Linked DNA regions of Caenorhabditis elegans. The protein of the gene in region 1 interacts with the protein of each later gene in a pairwise test. Each region holds a gene or a part of one and is shown in the gene's direction. Other genes may lie near its edges.

Region 1 (6,784 bases):
CATATCAAAAAATGAGCGCTCGCCAATATTTGCTCACTAACAAGTAGTGTCTGCCGCATTTTCCCTAAATCCTACTATTTTATCAAAGTGTTATTTTATTTTGCTTTTGAAAATGTGAAGCTCATAAGTTTTAAAGTATTTCCTCAGTTGAAAGAATTTAAATATCTTCAGCGGTATCAGAGATACAATGTTTTAAAGTTTAGCGCGAGATAGCGTGGAGGGAGGGGAGACGCAGTGTGTCTAACCCTCTGCGTCTCCTCTCTCCCACACTCTCTTCCACCTCAAACTTTGAACCAAATTATCTCAAAAACGGCTAAAGATATCAAAAAACTTTCAACTAGCAAAATGTTCAGTGTTAAATTTTGCATCGGAAAAAAATTTGTTTTCTGAAATTTCTGCTGGCTCAAGTAAGGTAAATGCTCAGAAATGCGCAGATATCATTTGTCTACTTTTAATTAAAAACCTTGAAAAAATAATTTCCCGTTTGGTTTAGTACACCAGAACACACCCCTGCAACGTGTGTTCCTCATATGTTTGTGTCTAGTCTCCTCCCTTTCCCTCTTCATCTCTGCGTCTCTCACCACCCCAACACTCTCTAGGTGCCTTTTTATCTCTGCGTCCTCTCCCTCTCTCTTTGTTTCACGCTCTTTTAGCCACAACAAAACAAATGTTTCTCATTTTCGACCAGTTTTTTGTGGAATTTATTTTCTTTAGTTTTTCAACTTCCGAGTGTTTTTAATTTGTTTTCTCCTGATTTGTTAGGATTTTTTAACTTTCAAAATGAATTTTTTTCTGCAAATTTCGGACTGAAAAAATACAAAAACATTGCAATTTTTTTCTTAAAAAATAATATTAAAATTAAATCCTAAATTGTAAATTTTACATGAAAATTAATCCAAAAAAAAGAAAAGTGTTGCCAAAATTAAATTGTTATTTAGATTAAAAAGAGGCAAAGATTTACCCCACAGAATTGAAACCGGTTCCGCAGAAAAATTGCCCAATTAGCGATGGGTCAAAAATCGCATCTGATCGGGTTGTTTTTGTTCGTCATGGGTACCCGCGTACCTGTGTCTAGACAATATTTGTTTCGGAAAAAAATTAGTGAAAAAAAACTTGTTTTGTGTTTCTAAAAAAAAGTGTTTCTCATAAAATCTATAAAATTCTCAAAATGGAAAAAAAGCTCTGTTAAAAATATATTAGTTAAAGAAAAAAATTTAAATTGCACGAAAATAGTTAAATTTCTTTAAATTTCTAAAAATCTACTCTGAAAAATAACCTGTTTCCCTGAAAAAAAATTCCAGAAAATTTCCAATTTTTTTCTCTCAAAAATGCTTTAAAACTCCGAAAATACAAGAAACCTTCTAAAATATTTTTTTAATATTGGAATATTTTCAAATTACACAAAAAAAAATTAAAAATGAATTTTGTTCGAAATTTTCAGAAAATCCAATTGAGCCTGTAAAACCTTTGTACACGGAAAAAACTCTAAAAATTTCCAAAAAAAAATTAAGAAACCCTTTGAAAAATATATTATTTTCCATTAGAAAATTTTAAAAATTTTATGAAAAATTTTTTTTTTTCAATTTAATTTTCTAATTTTCGAATTTTTTCAAGTTCTCAAAAACTTCTATGATATTATTTCTGAGCTTTCCGAGCAACTTTCGCAATAAAAAGTGACGTCACTCAAAAAAAAGTAGTTTTGTATTTTGTATATTTGCTGAATCACCACTGTTTTCTGTTCAAATTTCATTGGTTTTTTTTTCTCTTTCATTTTTCACGTTTTTCCATTTCTCTCCCCTACTTTCTCTATGATTCAAACACGTTTTTTAATTCAACAAAAAAAGCGAAAAAAAGTGTTGTTTGGCCTTAATCATATGTATTAAATGGTTACCATGGTAGCTATCGCAAGTAGACAGCTGAAAATCTTTGATTTCTCTGCGTCTCTCCTAATTTTTTGATCTTTTCCGTATTCCGGCCACGCAACCCTTTTGTTTGTGTAGTTAGCTGGCTGACTTATGATTTTTTGGAAAACTGGTGAAAATGTTTCGCCCATTTTTTCATTGAAAAACCATTCTTAGTATCTACTTTTTAGTGGAACCTCTGATAATATGATAAAATGGGTATATTTTAACTAAAACCCTAAGGGTATACATAATTCCAAAAACGTTATTTTTTTAAACAAAAAATTGCGAAGCACCAAAATGCTCCGTGAGCTCAATATGGAAAACACTGAAACCTAGGCAATATGGGGCTTAAATCAAAGCTCTTAAAAAGCTGAACTCAAATTCGTATTAAAAAAAAATTTAGTGATTGTGAATAAAATAGAAAATAATGTGGGTAATTTCAGACAAAATGGGTATATTTTAACTAAAACCCTAAGGGTATACATAATTCCAAAAACGTTGTCTGAAATTACCCACATTATTTTCTATTTTATTCACAATCACTAAATTTTTTTTTTAATACGAATTTGAGTTCAGCTTTTTAAGAGCTTTGATTTAAGCCCCATATTGCCTAGGTTTCAGTGTTTTCCATATTGAGCTCACGGAGCATTTTGGTGCTCCGCAATTTTTTGTTTAAAAAAATAACGCCATTGTTAATTTTTATCATAAAATTTTTATTATAAGTTCAGCTCCCTTAGAGCGTCAATTCAAGCCCCATATTGCCTAGGTTTCAATATTTTTCACGTTGAGCTCGCGAAGCATTTTGGTGCTCCACGGAAGCATGAAAGCGGAAATTTTCAAACTAAAGTAATCTATACAATATGGATGCCAAGTTTTCAAATTTTTAGTGAATTGAGCAGCAGGATTAATTACGATTTGGAGTGTTCTGTGCTCACGGAGCAACAGAGCCCTACATTAAGTTTGAGGTAGCATAGGCATTATGGGTGTCAAACTAAAGCTTTCAGCTAGCTGAATCTAGCAAGATTGAGCCCACATCTGAATTTGGTGCTCTGAGAGCCAGAAATAGAGGTTGTTTTAATCAGATTTAAAATTGTCTGTGCCGTGCACAAATTGCTTCTCCTTATTCCCCTCTAATCATTGAGTTGTATGGCGTCATTGAACTTTTGATATGTAAAGCTTTTTATTATGAAATTTGATTTCAGCTTTCAGGAGCTTGAGAGCCATATTTTCTAATTTTAAGAATGTTTAAGACTGAGCTCAATTGGTGCTCCGCGAGCTGAAAGCTTTAAAGCTGAAGTTTTGTAAATTTAGATCAAATTCGAAAACATTTTTGTGCAAGCTCACGGAGCATCTTTTTTTTCACGTCACGTGAATCACTATGCTTACCAGATTGTAGCGCTGAATTGTATCAGTTCCTGTTGCTCCGCGAGCCCATAAAAACTTTACTATTTGATTCTACAAAAAGTCTAGGTGCCCCAGAACTTTCCTCCTGCTGATTTTTATCTTGAAATTTTTTCTAAATCTACTGTGCTTTGTTCATTTTTCAAGTGTTTTTTTTTCAGAAAATAACCATGCAGCAACCAGTAATAAACCAACAACCGGGCTACAACCCACAGGGTATGAATCCAGTGCAACAATTCGAAATGCATCAGCAGCAGCACCAACAAGCAATCACAACTCAGCCAGGTGTCTTTGTGCAGCCGGCTCCTGGCTCCGTGTGGATGCCAATGCCACCAGCAATCCAAGGTGTGCCTACAGGCCTGGAGTATCTTACCTACTTGGATACAATCATGGTGCATCAAATCAAGGAGCTCATCGAGATTGTGACGGACTGGGAGACCAAGAACAAGTACGTGCTCAAGAATGCAAATGGAGAACAGTGTTACTACGCGTTCGAGGAGTCCGGATGCTGTGAGAGACAGTGCTGTGGACCGCAACGTGGATTCGTCATGCATATTGTGGATAACTTTAAGAGGGTAAGCTCACGGAGCATCTGGTTCAACAAGCTCGCGGAGCAATCCTGAGCCCAAATTTTCAGGCCTACCAAGCCAAAATTGATCCACATGCTCTGAAATTTCAAATTTTCCAGGAAGTTCTGACCATCAAGCGTGAGTTCAAGTGTTGCGGAGGTGGTTGCTGTGGATGCTTGGCATGCATCGGATGCTGCCAGCAGGAATGTATCATCGAGACCCCATCGATGGGTGTTCTGGGTATCATCCGTCAGCGGTGTGGATGCATGTCGTCGAATTATGATATTATGGATGGAGATGGAAATGTGATCTTCCAGATTGATGGTCCATGCTGTTGCATGCTTTGCGGATGTCAGGATAAGGAGTTTCCGGTAGGTGAAGTTCTAGGGTCCTGAGAGGTGTCGGCTGCAAGGTACATGCTAGCTTGTCTGATTGCAAGGTGCTGTGAAATGTCGGCCGCTAAATATTACCTGAGGCTGTGAATGTATTGAAAATCCCAAAATTTTCACCGGCCCTTTATCTGAGGTTTTGCCAGTGAGGCGTCGGCCGCAATTTACTAGGATTACTGGCCACCCGTAAAGTGTCGGCTGCTTGAACCACCTGCTTTGCTGACTTGTGCTGTGCAGCCGACACCTAGCGGCTTTGTCGAATAACCCAAGAAACAGCGGTTGCCGAGCAGCCGACACTTTGCGGGTCTGTCGGGAAGCCAGTGAGCTACCGGCTGAAGATCCTATCCCCCTAAAATGTCCGCTGCTTCAATACCCTCAAAATTTTCAGATCAAAACCGCCAACAACGGCACAGTTGTCGGCGCGATCACCAAAAAATGGGGAGGTTGCTTCCGAGAGGCGTTCACCGACGCCGACACGTTCGCCGTCAACTGTAAGTCGCCCCCGTCCATACAATCAATAATTCTTGCAATTTTCAGTCCCCGGCGACCTGGACGTCAAACTCAAAGGAGTACTGATAGGAGCCACGTTTTTGATTGTAAGTTTGGTTGCTGTAGAATTACTGTAACTTTGCTAATTTTTCAGGATTTCATGGAGTTTGAGCAACAGAGCCAAAACCGCAATAACGGAGGTTTGTGATTATCGCTTTTTGCTAACAGAAGTTTTTTTGTTGTGGAAATTATTGATTTTTGCTTAAATTATCAACTTTTGTCTAAAAAAAACTATTGATTTATGTGAAAATTATCGAATATTGAAAAAGGATTGGTGTCTTCCCTAAAATATGAATTTTCGTCCAAATTATTGATTTTTGGGATAATTATGGATTTTCGCTTGAATTATCAATTTTTTTTTGCTTTTTCAGTCTAACCGTCCGTCTGCTTAACCCTCTACCATTTGCTTTACATTTTTGCTGTGTTTTTCGGTGATTAGAGCATAATTTGGTATGCAATCCCGGTTTTTTGTCAATTGACCTTTTTTTAATTCCAGGAGCCTATTACAGTTCTTCTTAAAGGTACAGCAAGCTCCGCATGCTGCTGCCCCGATGGTTGTGATTGCAATTGTGACTGTAATTGTTAAAAGCCAACTTTTTTAAAAACGTTTTTCTTATTATTCCAACGCATTCTTCCAATATATGTATGACGTCACTTTCCTTCAGACTCCGCCCACATTTCCTTGTTAAGCCCCGCCCACTCTCAGGTCTCCAAGCCCCGCCCATTTCTTCTAGTTTTCAGTGTCTGTCCCACCCACTTTTTTCTCACAAAATTATATATCAAAAATAAATTGTTTTTGAAAAATCGATAATTCAAATAGTTTACTACATATATTGATTATTTAAAGTGTAAAATTCACGAAATGTGTATTTTTGCTCACTATGAAATGTGCTCCAAAACGCTTTGCTCCGCGAGCCCTTTGCTACAGGATCAGCTCTATTTGCAAAATTTTCAGGTTGAAAAAATGGAGCAAGAACTTCTTAACCCTGCTCCACCGGTTTACGTTGAACTGCAAGACCGAGCTGTTATTACAACTCAACCGGGAGCTCCGATACAAGCGGCTCCAGGATCCATCTGAATGGAAGCGCTCCCAGCAATTGAAGGGGTTCCCGCCGGCCTAGAGTACCTTGCATACTTAGATGAGATCATGGTGTACCAAGTGAAAGAGATGTTTGAAATATTTACCGGCTGCCCTAAAAACCAAAAAAACTCACAATCAAAAACGTGGCTCCAAGGAGCACAGCCTTGAGCTTGACATCAAAGTCGGCGGGGACTGATAATAGCCAGGGGTTATTTTAGCTTTTTTCAATTAAACCTACATAAGACGGCAAAAGTGTCCGCGTCAGTGAACGCCTCACGAAGTACACCACCCCACTTTTTGGTGATTGAACCGATGAGCTCATAGTTATCGGCAGTTTTAATCTGGAATTGTCTACGCAAGTGGCCATTTTCCTGCTGAAGATTCACCATAAAATCCTAATCTTCACAAAAGCATTGTGTACAACAGTCCGGCCCATCAATTAGGAAAATCACATTTCCATCCTTGTCCAAAACATTATAGTTAGTGGATACACAACCATGTCGTTGACGGACTGTACCCAGAAGACCTATTGAAGGAGATTCAATAGTACATTCGTGTTGACTACATTCAAATGATCCACAGAAGACACCTCCTGTTGTGACTTGGGCCTAACGCTTCCCCTGCGTCCCAACTTTGCAGATATATGACCGGTCAGGCTCACCCACTCGCCACCACTCATTATCCGCGAATACATTCACTCTCCGTTGTCCTTTTCCGTTTATTATCTATTAATAATAATTCCCTTTTGAATTACCGCCATTTGCGTATTTCCCGATGCAAGCGCGCTCCTCCGAGACCTCCCGTTACTCCGGAGCGTCGTAGCTCCGTAAATCCACACAATAATTCTATCCTACTTTTAGGCCAATCGTTCATTCTGTTCTACCTTCACCA
Region 2 (6,441 bases), on another chromosome or scaffold:
AGGTCGCGCATGGAAAAGTACACGTGGATTAGAACACGTTGAAACATACACCAAACATCGTTTGAGAGGAAATTACAACAGGAAAACTGGCTCCAAAACTGGCTATAGAAACAACACTTTTTGATTTTTGGTTCAAAAATTACTCCGTTCCAAATGTTCAGTAGCAATTGTAAAAAAAAAATTTAATGCTATTTTCCTGAGAAATTTCACATTCACAGAAAATCTCTATTTTCAAAACATATATTAAAAGTTGAAATTTTGATGTCTATCAAAAATTGTCAAAGAACATAAATAGGCACAATTGCAATATCAAACAATGTTCCATTCAATTAAGCTAAACCGGAAAATCTCTAGCTCAAAAAGAGAAGTCATACAGTTGGAAACTGTTTCGGTGATCAGTTTACGATGCTCTGCGCAGTAAAGACAGAAGAAACGACTCATGTTGACTTACCTTGATTCATTGAACTTATGTTCAGAGACTTACCGACAAATGACGGGATGAATCATTTGAGAATTTCTGTAAAGGTGCAACTAGAAGAGAAGTTGTACATTGTTTTTATTCGAAATTAGGCAGAAATTAACCGGCAAATACCGAGGTATATTGCAGGGAGCTATAGTACACATAATAATATCAAATTGACATGATTTATGAGTAGGGAAGTTGATATCATAATTGGTTCAAGTATATCTACTACTACTGACAACTTCGACGAGCCCTGAAACATAAACAGGAAAAATTGGTACTAGATTGTGTAACATACAATTGATGCGTACCTCTTCGAAAATATTTTACCGTAGTCTGAATTTGTACGTGATAAGCTCTCGTCAAAAACAAGAAACTACATACATTGCTGCTCACAACGAAATGCGTTCAATTGAAATTTCTATTTGCCAACCGGGAGCCTCCAGACGGTTAAAACTGTCAAATGATGTGATTCCGTATGACTCATCAATGTCTGACCCAGAAATCCGGTCCTCTCGGAGTTTCTAGTTGTTTTCCACGTGTTCCACGTCACAATTGAATTCACATGGCAACCAGCTGCATTGCATTGGTAAAGTGACCATTAAATTCAATACGAAAAGTAAGCAAATACTTCAATTGTGTGAGTTTTAGTTGACCAACTTTTCATCAGGTTCATGAAGAATGTGAATGAAAAATGTTTTTATTCACTGTGAAGTAGGGGAGATCAAGAGATAAAGAACAGGCTAGATTTGGAGATACGAAAAGCGACAAACATGTGTTTTTATGTAAGCAGTCTTCTCCGAGCATCTTTTTATAGATGTTCGAAATACTTGAAGCGAAAAATTGCGCAACTTGAACTAAACAAGATAATCAGTGCGGTTGCTGCTATTTATGGATGATGATTGCTCGCGAGAGGGGGTCAGCAGGGACGACATTCCTACAAAGGGCATAAGGAGAATGAAAAAGTATGCGGGTAGAAGAAGAGAGCAAATGAGCATTGAGAGCATACTGTATTTAGTGATAAGCAGAGATTTTTGATATCTAAGCTAAGAGTGTCCGGAACATTTGGAAACTAGAAGCATTGGTCATGGAATTTTATTTAGAAAAATTGAAAAAGGAAGTCACACACATAATAAATTATGTGCATCTAAAACGTTAAAAAATCCAAGTATTGTACCGATTTTAATATTTCCAGGTACTGAAAGATTTTGAAAAATAAACAATTTTAGCAGCGTTTTTTGAATTGTCTTTGCTTTACATTGAAAGCTTATATCTCGGTTCTCTTTGGTTTTATCAAAAAATTGTCAACAAACCAAATGCGTGTAAAATGTTTATCTATATATCAATAGTAGAACATTTTTTGATATAACTCATGACAGTCGAGATATGAGTCGTCAAATTAGAGCAGTCGTGGTAAAAACTTTTAAAATCACAAATCAAGAAAGATAATTAAATTATTTTTCGCTGTGTGACCATTTTTATTTCAGCATGCGCTTCAAAAAACTACCAAGTTGCGTTATCATATTCTTTGGTTTACTCCGAAAATTTACTGGTAGCTATATAATTTACCAAAGCTGAACAAATAATCCACTCATTTGGTGAATAGTTCTAAAGTATACAAGCTTCAAGTCATACAGGTTATTTCAAAACTACAGTACCCTTCAAGGCTTTGAGGACCTCCGGTTTCCGAGTATGAATTATGAAATGTTTTTCGTCTAGTCCTCATTGTCTCAATCACTATCTCCAGGCAAAAAGATGAGATCTCTTGAGGGTACTGGACTCTCCCTCAATCCTCCGATTCAAGGAGTTGTTTCGAACGCTTAAGCACTCCTGGCTCCGCGCGGGGCGGAGTCGAAGTGTGCCGCGACCGACCGACCGCCGGCGCCTTCCTCCCCATTACCCCCACCCATCTCCCGCCGCTATATAAAAGGTACGCAGTGCCATCTGGACAGAATACAGAGCCTTCGAGTTCTAGTCCTTCTCCTTCTTTTACCCAACTCATTATTCCCCACATTTTTGTTTCAATGGCAGCCCGCAGAGCAGCTTCGATTCTTCTTATCGCCGTTCTGGCCCTCTCCAGTACCTTCGTCTTCGCTGACGAAGAGACTGTCAAGGTAAATTTCTTTTTTAAATACTACTTTTGTACTTTTGAACATTTATTTAAGCATTCAGTCATACTTTCCCTCTTTTATGCTCACTATTATTTTCGTGTTTTCTGTGTACCTAACCATTAGGACACGGCGCGGATGTGGGTATTGAATGCACAATGTGCATGAATAGGAATAATGAATAGGCTTTAGGAACAAGCTGGTTATGATCATGATCTTATTGATCATGCCCAATTGAAGCATAGCGTCTAGTACATCAGGATCCAAATTTCAGCAATCATTTGTTTAAATAACTTTTCAATTTTAACTATGATGCTTCCTTATGACTGTCTAGACTCTTATTTCATTTATTCCCGTCATTGGCCATTCCTTGAGACCTCACTAATACAAAGTGAAGTGGTCATTTCAAGGGGTCAGCTGGCTTCTTCTCCTGCTCTTTCCCCTCCGATAAAAACAGGAAAAATGATAGTGTAAACAAAGGGCGCATGAAGATTCTCTCCGCGATTGCCCCCCAGAGTGTGCGCGCAAAAATCTAAGCACACTGTCTTTCCTTACGGTCAAACAAAAGAGCCCTAAATAACTGCAGAACGAGACCGGATTGGCGTTGTCGCGTGCCAAGAGACAGTGCTGTTCATCCAACTCCAACTCATGCTGCGGAAACAACAACAACGTGCAATGCATCCCAGTTTGTCTGCAACAGTGCCAGAGCTCATGCCAAACATCCCAATGCATCCAACAATGTCAGCCAGCTTGTAACCAACAGTGCGGAGGAAACAACCAAGTCATCCTTCTTCCACAAACCAACAACTGCAACCAATGCCAACAACAATGCATCAGCTCCTGTGCCACCCCAATCTGTGCTCAATCCTGCAACAACCAATGCTCCAGCTCTTGCGGAAACTCTGCTCCACAAATTGTCGTTCTCCAACCACAACAGAACCAATGTGGATCATGCCAGTCTTCCTGCCAACAGACTTGCCCAACATGCAACTGCCAATCTGCTTGTGCTCCAGCCTGTGGAGGAAACAACAACAATCAGCAAATCATCGTTGTTCAACAGGACAACTCATGCTCATCCAACTGTAACAACCAGTGCTCCAGCTCCTGCAGCACCCCAATCTGCATTCAGTCCTGCCAATCCTCCTGCCAACAGGCCTGCCAGCCAACCTGCCAGCCACAATGCATGCCATCCTGCTCGTCTAGCTGCACATCCAACCAGGCTCCAATCGTCATCGTCGCTCAACAAGGAGACTCATGCTCCAACTCGTGCTCCAACCAGTGCCAGTCTGCCTGCCCAACTCCAATCTGTGTCCAACAGTGCAACTCTCAATGTCAATCCCAGTGCTCGAACTCTTGCTCCGGAAACAGCTGCAACCAACAACAGGTAATAATATTGATTTTCCATTAATTCATGAATCAATATTACAGGTCATTGTCCTCCAACAACAAGACAACTGCCAGAATCAATGTCAATCTTCCTGCATGAACACTTGCCAATCATCGGCTACCGTTCTTCAATGCCAGCCAATTTGCCAACAAACCTGCCAGAATACCTGTCAACAAGCCGCTCAAATCGTTGTTCCATGCCAATCGAGCTCTTCTGGATGTGGATGCTCATCTGGATATTCTCAATGCGGTGGATCATGCTGCCGTCGTCGTTAAGCATCCCCTTCCCTGAATTCTATGAACGAATTCTTACCGTATCCGCGTTTTCTATGCGACAACTTCTGTTTTCGTTTCCCCATCCCACTTCTCACATAACTTTTATTATGACATTGTCTGTAAATAAGTGGTAGCCATGTGAGGTGTCTAATTATTTTATTATTGTTCCCTTCTTTTTCATGATGTTTCATTGTCCTTGAGTTTCGACAATAAATTATTCTAATTTAAGAATTATACAAGAAATGTTTTCATTCGGCAAAACATAAAATAAAAAATCACATATATTCACAGTAATCAATCATCATATAATAAATTGTATTGTTTAGTCCTGTTTGAATAGTCCTCGAGCTGAGCGACGAAGGGTTGAGCGACGCTGAAAAAAAAATTTAAAAAGAAGAAAAACAAATGTATCCAAATTAACAGTTTTTCTAAATTTATTATTGATTTTATTCCGAATTTTGCAAATATAAACGAAGTTACTGAAACAAATTCGAATTTTCGACAGAAGTTTCAAAATTTTCGCGTTTTTTATTCATTGGTTTCTCTTGATTTTTTCCTTGATCTTTTTTAATTGTCACCCAAAAAAAAGTCGTCGAAATTTCAAAATTAGCCTAGAAATGAGTAATGTAGCATTAGTTTCAACTCTTTTTTTTCGGAAAACTTTCTGAAAAAATGACAAAGTATCGAATCAAACACTAAAGAATTTTTCAATTAATGAATGAAAATTCCATAATTCGATAGAAAATTAAAAATTTTGAAAAAAGAGCACATGCTTGTTATAAAAATGCACATACCCTTACAGCACCAGCTTTCATCATTGAGCTTCGTCGTTTTTTCTTTTTCTCTGGAACATATTCCTGCACATCGGAATCTTCTTCGGCAATATTCATAGCTTCCAAGATCGAACCGAGAGGAGTAATCGGAATTGGACCATGGGAGTTTTTCTCTGGCGATTTCACTGCGGAGATATTCTTCCAGTTCTCGATTGACTTTTCAATAAGTGCAATATGATATTTGGAGAGACCTGGTTTTAGATCGCAAAGTGTCGATAGAACTCTGGAAAAGATGAAGAATTATTACAATCGTTAAATTTTAGAAATTAACTAACGTTTGAAAACTGATCACTTGAATGTGATTTTCCTTTTCTTTTTCTTCCATTTCTTGATTCAACGAATCGTTCATGCTATCAGTCTCATCAAAGTTTAGAACAGTTCTAGGAGTTTTCGATGGACAATTGGCAAGATTGATCTTCTGGAAAAGCCTTTTTTTAGAAAGAAAATTGGATAATAAGCAATGATACTTTTCTATCAGCCTTCTTCGTCGATAAAATTGATGTTGGCTTGAAACTGAGATCCGAAATAGGACTGTGCCTAACATCTGAAGAAGAACAAGCAGCTATTCCATCAGCTTCAGCTGACTCTCGCGCCTCCTGAATTGCGGATTCAACTTCGAAAAATCGAATTTTTCGCTGACGATTGCCCGTGGTATTGAGCGAGTTGTTGGTAGAGGATGGTTTGCCTGGAGTTGCTCCAGAGGTGATATTGTTCAGAAATTCTGAGACCTGAAAAAATCATAACTTAAAAATCAAGAAATATCAATCCAAATACCTCATTCCTTTGAGATGAATTTGCTTCGAAGACATTAATACCAAGTGGCATCAAGCTTACACGTGGCTCCCGGGAAGCGATCGAGGCTCTCTGAAACAAAAAGTTCATGAAGTTCATTTCTAATATAAAGTCCTTACAAATCTGCTCATAGGCTTTCCAATCAATGACTCTCTGGCTCCGAATGTATGACGTGGCGCAGCTATCGATGGACGATTCACTGGAATGACGATTCGTCCACTTTTAATCATATCTAGCGAATTTTGATCGATTTTGAAGTCGTCCTCAGGTTCAACTTGACTGACTGGGTTCCTCAAAGCTGTGGAACTGTTTTGAGCAATAGATTGTTGAGGGGCCATGGAAACCATCGGAGCTACCGACTGTTTTGGAGCAATCGATGCTCTTGGAGCTATGGGAACCGTTGGTGGCTTCGTAGACTTTTTTGCTAACCGATTATACTTCTGTCTTGATTCCTTCAACCTATTAATCCGTTCTTCTTGTGAAATTATTGAGCGACGACGGGGAAAAACCATTCCGATCTGAAAAGTTGATTTAACATTAGTAAAACTTCACTTTCAAAAAGAGAACATAAATATTAACAAAT

What was found.
Region 2: the proteins of scrm-1 (region 1) and abu-14 interact in a two-hybrid assay, tested with the Caenorhabditis elegans proteins (one study listed by BioGRID).

Annotation. Positions count from the first base shown.
Region 1 is NC_003279.8:11,687,513-11,694,296, reverse strand, and holds scrm-1 (Phospholipid scramblase), read left to right. Parts: upstream 1-3,466; 5' UTR 3,467-3,475; coding exon 3,476-3,880; intron 3,881-3,993; coding exon 3,994-4,245; intron 4,246-4,651; coding exon 4,652-4,754; intron 4,755-4,800; coding exon 4,801-4,859; intron 4,860-4,906; coding exon 4,907-4,952; coding exon of another isoform or gene 4,953-4,960; exon of another isoform or gene 4,961-5,183; coding exon of another isoform or gene 5,184-5,188; exon of another isoform or gene 5,189-5,308; coding exon 5,309-5,331; 3' UTR 5,332-5,615; downstream 5,616-6,784.
Region 2 is NC_003280.10:9,223,204-9,229,644, reverse strand, and holds abu-14 (Activated in Blocked Unfolded protein response), read left to right. Parts: upstream 1-2,430; 5' UTR 2,431-2,487; coding exon 2,488-2,577; intron 2,578-3,157; coding exon 3,158-3,955; intron 3,956-3,999; coding exon 4,000-4,233; 3' UTR 4,234-4,459; downstream 4,460-6,441. Other genes in the region: ZK1067.3 (uncharacterized protein), read right to left, coding at 4,556-4,606, 5,028-5,289, 5,342-5,484, 5,534-5,794, 5,841-5,930, 5,978-6,370.